Solanum lycopersicum: one gene and its partner. The protein of the gene in region 1 binds, or shares a complex with, the protein of each later gene. Links are inferred from orthologs where the notes say so. Each region holds a gene or a part of one and is shown in the gene's direction. Other genes may lie near its edges. The genes, in order: DNA-directed RNA polymerase II subunit RPB7 and DNA-directed RNA polymerase II subunit 4.

Region 1 (4,551 bases):
ATCCTAAGAAGAAAACAACATTAAATGTGGTTTGAATTTCTTTACCAAACTTATCTCCAGATTTATTTGTAAAGAAGTCTCTACTATCTATAGCATCGGTAGTTGGAAAACCAATAGTTATAGATAAAGCTACTCAAATAAAATCAAGACCTAGCACAGCTAGAGTCAAGATTATACTTGATCTAATGGAAGAACTTCCAAATCGTATAAGATTGCAGTTTATGGATGGAAAATCTGAGATGTTGATCGAGATTTTTAAGGAGATTGTATATGATAATCTACCTTAGTATTGCAATTATTGTAAGCACCAAGATCATGATGAAGAAAGCTATCGTTGATCTCGAAAAGAAATCAAGATAACTAACAAATTGATGATACCATTGAAGTTGCTTCAAAAGGTACCATCGATAGTGAAAAGTATCAAAGTGATGCAAGATAAATACTAAATGAAAAAAGAAAGGTTGTAGATGTCGATCAAAGTAAAGCTATTTCTTTAGATTGATAATTGATTACTGTCACTTTTGAGTGAAACCGTGCACAATCAATGAATGTTGTTAGAAGTAATATTGGTATTCAAACAACTTTCAAAAGCAAAAAAGGAACGCCAAGAATTGGGGTTGATGCGCCGCGATTTGGTTCAGGTAAAAAATAATGTATTCAGGACACAAACTAATGGATACATCTGATATTGAAGATGCCGACAATTCTGGACAACATGTTTTGCAAGTTCAAATCAAGAATGCGACAAAAATTGGACAATGGTTGCACTCAAAAATTCAATTATTAATCATAGCCTTTTTCCGACTAGTCAAAATAATTTTCCATGTAGTGAAAAGGATGCGACTAGAAATTTTCATGACAGTGAGAAGATGCAAGATATTAATAATGCCTCAAGAGACCTATTATGCTCGAATAACTTTGATGCTTTATCGAAGACTATTGAAAAGCAAGTAAAGTTAGTAGAGAGTCATGACAACGATTTGATCCAAGAAAAAAGGTCTCACCACCTACTTTGAATAGTAAATTAAGTCCAGAAGCTTCCATATTTGTGCCTAAATGTGTGTTGCAAATAAGAATAAGTCAAGGGCCTTAGTGTCAAATACAGTTAATTTGAGCGAGGATTCATGAGGAAGATATGCTGGACATATGCTTTGATAGAGTGGTTAAGGAAGGATATATATCACCTAGACGACAAAGAAGTGGAAGCAACAAAAGCAAAAAGAAGACACATGTAAGAAAACACAATTGGGACAGTAAAATGACTGAGGAGTTTGTTCCAAGGCACCTACGGATGCGGCAGACAAAATAGAACCATTTGACAGTATCAATAGGTTCAGTAAAATCCGATAAATCCATAAAGAGAGTACGAATTATCAAGTGTTGTTGGATAGGTTTGAAAAAGAATACAAAAAAAAATACTTCAAGTTATTTTTGACGGACAATCAATCATTTTTAATTCATGCGTTTGTAACAGAAAGTTTGAAGCTGATATATATTTATATTATTTAAGCATACTCATTTGAAATATCATCATGAAGTATATTACAAGCTCTGCAGTGATTAGAAAACATTTAATCCTCTCTAGGTTTTATTTTCTTTATGCTTGTTAGATAGTAGACGTAAGGTCCTTCATTAGGATTACGAAAAAAAATACCTAATCTAAGAGCTAAATTAGGAAATAATTAGCTAAAAATTTTAGGAGATAAACTTTGGTCTATAAAATAGGTTTTTGGTCCAATTGTTGAGATACCCGGCGGCCCACTATATATAAATCTCTGTCCGTTGTTCATAAGCTTCACTTGTTCAACTTGGATCAACAAACGTAGCTTCTTCTTCTTCTTCCTCAATCATGTTTTTCCACATTGTATTGGAGAGAAACATGCAGCTTCATCCTCGTCACTTTGGTCGTGATCTTCGTGAAAAACTTGTGTCAAAACTGATGAAAGATGTAGAAGGAACTTGCAGGTTTAATTCATAAAACCCTAATTTTCGTTTTTTTTCACTGTTTCTTATTGATTTAATGTTGTTAAAATTTTGAATTTGGGTTTTTTTTGGTTCAGTGGTCGACATGGTTTTATAGTGGCGATTACTGGGATTGAAAGTGTTGGAAAAGGATTAATTCGTGATGGAACTGGTTTTGTTACTTTCCCAGTGAAGTATCAATGTGTTGTATTTCGACCCTTTAAAGGTGAGATTTTGGAAGCTGTTGTCACCATGGTTAACAAGGTAAGGTCTTTCCCCCCCCTTAATTTGCATTTCTGTTAGCTTCTGTGTGTTCGCTAGATTAAGCAATTACACAGAATTCAACTGAATTTCGCTTATCGAAATTGGTATCCAAACCTTTTTACAGTGGTTGGAGTTGGAATAGCAGCAATCTTCTGAAAAACTAACTTTAAATTTGCCTCCAACGAAAATTTACTTTCTCTTCTTTGTAGGAAATTTTGGTTTTAGAAAAAAAGGTTCTGATAAGAGACAGGTGGTTAATAATCCTGCTAATATGTACGAAAGGGGAGAATTTTGAGAATAAGAGAGATCGAGAAGGAAAGATATAGCAAGGAAGATTCAATGGGTTCGTGTAGAGAATGAATTGAGTAGTTGAATCCAACTAGTTTGAGATTGAGATTTAGAGGGATTGATAGGCATATATAATTTTTTTTTATGAGTGATTGATTGATAGGTTGATCTATAGATACTTTGACTTTATAATAGAAGTAACTGATGAACTGACGCATCAAAAAGGACTTTTCGAAGCGCGGAATCCCAGAATGGAATCATTGCAGAAGAAAGGTTAATCTAAGAGGACACATGGTTTCTAGGAAAATAAGAACTGCATTGCCTGCCACACATAGTATTTTCAAGACATAGAGCTGGTCTTTTTTCTTTTTTTTAAAGGATACCAGTATCTATTTGTATAATCCACAAAGAATCTGCTGCAACTGGTTCACTGTCTTGGTTACAATGCCAATAAATAGGCATGGGTGGTGGTCTTGATTTCAAGAAAAACGTGGCTAAAACTTGCTTTGCGATAGCTGAGTAGCTCGGCTGTGGTTCTGAGAGAACTGCAGAAATAAAACCAGACAATCTCCCATCAGGAACTATTTTGGGTACTTCATGATTGTGGAATATTGCATATGGAACTTTTGCATGGAAAGTTTTTTTCATTGCATTAATGTTAGTCTTGTTAAAACCTCTAATTTGGTTTAAAAGTTAAAATTGATTACTACAAGTTAGGAATAAAGTGGGCCTGAATGTATAGGAATGGATCTAGAAGATTCATATATATAGTCTGATTCCTTAGGTTTGAGTTGTAGTTGATTGATTGGTTAATGTTAGTTAGCTCTTCTCCATCTACCCTACCTAAAGATATTTATCCGTGTGGTATATTGCAGATGGGATTTTTTGCTGAAGCAGGGCCTGTGCAGATTTTTGTCTCAAATCACGTGAGTTTGTTCTCCATATTTAAATATTTAATCCAGCATGTGTTCGTTCCCACACATACACGACATTTTCTTAGTGTGGCATATTAAAAGCTCATTCTGCTATATGCAAGATTGCATGAATGAAATGTACTGATTAGAAATATATTAATGAAATGTCTTCTGCGTGCATATCTATTGTAAAAGCATGAAAATCAACTTCTTTTAGGAAGGTAGTTGTTGATTCTTAAGAGATTTTTTGTTCAATCTTCATATATGTTTCTACATTTTCTTTTTTGTGTTTATTTTTCCTTGATTTGGAAAATCCTTTGATGATGCAAACTCTTAATGTATTGGTTGGGACCGTAGGTTTCCATCACTACAACAAACCTTGATATATCAAACTTATTCTGTTTTCTAACGTGTTATAATTCCAATAAAAGAATGAAGAAGGAATCTAGAATTCAAAAATGGGTAGTCTCTCATATGATATTAGCTTTAGCTTGATTTGAATATCTAGTTTAAGATTATCTACATAACTGCTAAGTAGTCTACAGTGTGTTTGGGTGTGTATATATATACACACACACATATACATTTCTCGTGTGATTCTCAGCAACATCATTTGCACTTGTTAGATGTTCCACCAAGCTAATTTATCAATAAATAAAATAATTTTTTTTGTCAAGCTACATAAGTACTCTGCCAAATCTAAATAGTCCTTGATTGTTATGCTTAGGATCAAATTTTTCATGGAACTCAAGTTAGACCCTTTTATAATTAAACTGTATTGAGTTTGTCACCTTAAGTGAATTTCATTGGTTCCTAGATTATTTAAGAGGTGTATGCATGACTAGTCACTAGTGGTGGTAGGAATTCCGACGGAGGAAAAAGGATGTGGCCTAGTGGTTAACTAAGTGGATACAGACCTTTGAAACTAGGGTTCAAATCCACGCAGAGACAAAATCTGCAAAAAACAATGGAATGATTTCTTCTTATCTGCCTATGCCTGAGTGGGAAGAGTTACCCTACAACTCTGCTGGTGGGAGGTAGAAAGTACCTGGTGGATAGTGTGGGTGAGCATAGGCTGGTCTACACACCATTGTCATCAAGAAAAAAGTTGGTGGGAAAATGT
Region 2 (4,412 bases), about 47 Mb from region 1:
AGCACAAGAGGAACAACAAAGGCCCTAAGGCAGCCATCTATGTACACAACTTGTCATCTTTTGGGCAAGTAATAAAAAGGTATTATGCATCATAGAGATAAGTGAAAAGAACAGTTTAGACTTGAGATATTTAATTAACAGGGAATCATTTGGATCACCATTCAAGAATGCATTGAAGATGGAACTCATGCTTGCAACCAGTCACCTGCAAATTTAATACATTATGTTACTCGATGATAGAGCCCATTCCATCCATAGTAACATATATGTGAACGATACGTACAGTAGAAGGATCACTATCACAAAATGCTTCAAGGCATATGCTGCAAGCATCATCGCAAGCATCCTGAATTCCACCTTCCACAAATGCCGCAGCCGAAGTTAAAATATCCTCAGACATCTTGCCCTCCTCCATCTGTCAAAAGATCAAACCTTAAAACATCACTGAAGTTTAATGAAGAAAGCAAAAAGCAAACAAGCATTACTTCTAATCACATGCCAATTTACAAAAACCAAACGAAGTCCCTCGAAACCAAATAATTACCTTACCTGCTCTCACTTTCACTGGCAATATGACTAATTAATTACAGGTGAGAATCAAATGCTACAGAGACAAAACAATGGCTCTCTGTTTCATTTTAATACGGTATGCATAGCCATAACTGTTTCACCGATTAGCTGGTCTCCGGTAAGAGCTTCACAATTGATTAATAAACATCCAACAGCAGCTCAAAGAATAACAAATAGGAGACTAAACCCCACTATCTCCATGTTCATTTAACAAAGCTTTGAATAACAATTCAATCCCAGCACTGAAAAAAGTTTAAATGAAACCCCCACCACAATTCTATTATAAAAAAAAAAACCATATAACAAATTCAAAAGTTTCACTAGATTATCCCTTCTTCTCAAACCACTCTACAGACAAATTTTTTTTTTTAAAAAAAATTGAAACCCACATCAGAATCGCGCAGATAAACAAAATCTGAACAGAAAAAATAGATTTTTTTTTTGAAAAAAAAGTAACCAACCAACCAGTACTCCAATTAGTAAAAGAAGCTCAATTTCAAACACCACAAGTAAAATTAATCAATTTTACAAAACCATACAAGTACTATAAACTTACCTTAAAGAAACTTCAATGAATATGGCAGATCAAAGAATAAGTTGATCAGGAGAATTTTGGGTTTTGAAAGGTAAACCACAGAAATGAAAATAGTGGAAGAACAAAGAGGAAGAAGAAGACTTTTAACTTTCCCTTTGATTATTTGTTCTTTATTATTTTTATTTATTTATTTATGCTTTCTTTCTTTCCTTTTTTTTTCTTCTTTCGAGGACTGAGCCCAAAATAACACTTTGGACAATATTTTAGTTGGTCAAAAAAAAAAAAATTGACATATCAAAAAAATTGTTATGTATTATTTTATTAGTATAATAAATTAATCATATTGATCATTATTTTTTAAAAAAACGATAAAATTCAAAGTAAATTTAAGTATGATAATTGCATCAAACATTTATTGCCATAATCTTATTGATCGTGTATGGTCCTTATTTAAGTCAAGTGAATTAATTTTTTTAGCATTATTACTTCTTTTTAAAAAGGAAAAATTATTTTTTATGGGGCATAATTATAATTATAATAAAATTCGAGGACATAAACCTAAATTCCGAATTCTCGAATTTTGCCTTTATATAGTAGTCTGGCTTCTTCAATTAGCAATTTTTTCTAGTACAAAGATGTCTGGGGAAGAAGAAGAAAACGCCGCTGAGCTCAAAATTGGCGATGGTAAATAAGTTTACTCTCTAATACACTTGATGAATCGGTTTCTTTGTTATATGAATTGCTTAACGTTCTGGAAATTGAGTTTTATACTTAAAAAAATCTTTTTTTTTCTTTAATGTACTCATAAAAATAGGTTTTTTCTTTCTTTTTTTAACCATGAAGGCAAGGGGGAGTCAAGTTTTTTCATCAAGATTTTGTTTTTTCCTATAATGGGTTGTGTAGTATTGGGTTTTTTTTTTTCTCAATTTGTTGGGATTGGTTCTAGGGTCTCTTTTTTAATAATGTAATGCAGGATAAGATAGTTAACTGGCTGATGCTACTATATGGTGCATATGGTTCTTCTTATTGATTTAATGTCTATGAGAATAGACTTGATATTACATTTTGATTTTTTCTGGATCAAGAAAAAGACTGTTTTTTGTTCATATGTAGTGATCATTAATAGACTTTAGTCACTTCAAACTGCCTAGCTTCACTGTATGGCTAACTTAACTATTTAGCATATGTATCGCGATGAGCATCTTTTTTTTTTTTTTTATCTTTGGTTAGTTACTTCAGAATTGTTTTCAGCTGTCCATATAAGTTTCTCGATGGATTGTTGAGGGCTTCGGGCAATAGAGGTTATTGCTGAGGCATGAAGTGGAGGGAGATTGGATTAGTGGTGTTGCATTCATCGTTCTCCTTGAGATATGAAATTTAGGAAGAATTTACAGATTGGTGTTCTATAGGTAGTCTGTCTATAATAAAACTCCCTATTTGAGAACATACAATTTCCTACCCAGACAATATTGGGTCTCCCTCCCTTGTCATCCCTCCAGCTTATCTCTATTACTCATGGTGAAAGCTTGTGCAAAGTCTCTAGTCTTTTAACTGTTTGTATGCATACAAACATCTTCTCTTGATGAAGTTCATTAACATCTTTTGGTACTTTGGTTTCAGAGTTTTTGAAGGCCAAATGTCTAATGAACTGTGAAGTCGCATTGATTCTTGAACACAAGTATGAGCAGATCCAGCAGATGTCTGATGATCCAACAAATCAGATTTCGCAGTATGTATATAAATCTAGATGCTCCTTTTATGTCATTAAATGCTCAGATATTAAGTACAAGCTGGATTACCTGTACAAAATAAGTTGTCTTCCTCCATATCAACTTTTCAATTCATGCCAACCACTTTGTGAAATTTCCATGTTCATATATAGGCAAAATGCTAAGAAATATTCTTAAGGAAAATTATGCCAAACTGATATGGTTCTACTCTTTCAACATCTAAATATGTTATTTTGAAGAGATAACCTGTGCATAGGCGTCACGTTCTCAAGTTTGGTTAATTTGGTTACCTTTGACTTCCAGGGTATTTGAAAAGTCGCTGCAATATGTGAAGCGTTTCAGTCGGTACAAGAACCCTGATGCTGTTAGACAAGCTCGAGAGTATCCTCCTGCCTGTGGCTTAGATTGAAAAACTTCTGTATTTCTTTTTGATATTTATGAATTTACAATGAATAGTCCTTTTATAGAATGTAAACCTTAACTTTGATTCAGAATTCTTAGTAGGTATCCACTTGCTGAATTCGAGGTAGGAATCTGTTCTTTGAATTTCCTAATTTGTTTCATACTTGTAACCACCATCAATATCTTCGTGGAAACTGCAGTTTATAAGTTTGAATATTTTGCAGCTCTGTGTTCTTGGGAATCTTTGCCCCGAAACTGTTGAGGAAGGTATTGCCATGGTCCCATCCATCAAGGTACTCATGCATGCTATTCAACCCTACATAAGAACGGATTGTATGCAGATATCTAGAGTTGTAGTTTTCTGGACTTCATAATTTCAAACAACACACCCAAAATGCTTCAAATAGGCATCCTAAACAATTTCTTTACTTGTTAGGGAGCTTTTCTTTGTCTTACTTGGTCCTTCTAGGGATTTGACATCCAGAGGTGGCTGGTTTGGAAAGTCTAATATTTTGCCAAAAAAGTCTTGGTACTTTGGAGGTGTATGAAATTGACCCTCATCTTTTCACCATGTTGTCTCATTTGTTTAAGGCATAACACCAATCTAATCAGAGTTGCTTGTACATCAGTGTGTGATTGTAATATCTCACCATAAGGCTAAAGGAAGTCTATAGAAAATGCACCGACAGTTTGAATCTTCAAAGTTTCCCTAAATGTACAGTCTAATCATCCAGCTATATATATTCCTGTTACTCTTTTTCATAAACTCCGGCTAACTGACACCCCTTCCATGCTTGCAGAATAGAGGACGTGCACTTGACGAGGAAGCAATTGAGAAAATGCTAACTGACCTTTCCCTAATAAAGAAATTCGAGTAGTCCTATTATAGTGCTTGTCTTGCTATGCTGCAGCAGTCTCTGCTTCCGAACCTGTACCTCCATATGTTTATTAGTAGCAGCTCTGTAATGCTAATTGGGCTCTGGCATTATGTTGAAAACTTTATCTGTTGATTGAAGAAGAAAACTCTCTCTGGACCCTTTTTTTTCTTTTTGGTAGCTGGTTGTAACCACAATCCTTTGGTGCACGGGCTAAATCATTGTAATGACATACCTGGTTTGTCGTTTCGCTTTTGTGAAAGACAAATAAGAGCATACCTTGATCGGAATATTAGCTAT

Evidence for each region.
Region 2: DNA-directed RNA polymerase II subunit RPB7 (region 1) and DNA-directed RNA polymerase II subunit 4 share a complex: the UniProt entries of both Arabidopsis thaliana proteins name them as parts of the RNA polymerase II complex. The link is inferred for Solanum lycopersicum from reciprocal best matches to the Arabidopsis thaliana genes NRPB7 and NRPB4.

What each region holds. Positions count from the first base shown.
Region 1 is NC_090805.1:844,906-849,456, reverse strand, and holds the start of DNA-directed RNA polymerase II subunit RPB7, read left to right. Parts: upstream 1-1,539; 5' UTR 1,540-1,849; coding exon 1,850-1,965; intron 1,966-2,060; coding exon 2,061-2,226; intron 2,227-3,389; coding exon 3,390-3,440; intron 3,441-4,551. UniProt on the Arabidopsis thaliana protein: DNA-dependent RNA polymerase catalyzes the transcription of DNA into RNA using the four ribonucleoside triphosphates as substrates. Component of RNA polymerase II which synthesizes mRNA precursors and many functional non-coding RNAs.
Region 2 is NC_090805.1:48,101,634-48,106,045, reverse strand, and holds DNA-directed RNA polymerase II subunit 4, read left to right. Parts: upstream 1-1,524; 5' UTR 1,525-1,620; coding exon 1,621-1,789; intron 1,790-2,725; coding exon 2,726-2,834; intron 2,835-3,138; coding exon 3,139-3,216; intron 3,217-3,327; coding exon 3,328-3,361; intron 3,362-3,461; coding exon 3,462-3,530; intron 3,531-4,037; coding exon 4,038-4,115; 3' UTR 4,116-4,402; downstream 4,403-4,412. Other genes in the region: E3 ubiquitin-protein ligase RHF2A, read right to left, coding at 159-205, 284-415. UniProt on the Arabidopsis thaliana protein: DNA-dependent RNA polymerase catalyzes the transcription of DNA into RNA using the four ribonucleoside triphosphates as substrates. Second largest component of RNA polymerase II which synthesizes mRNA precursors and many functional non-coding RNAs.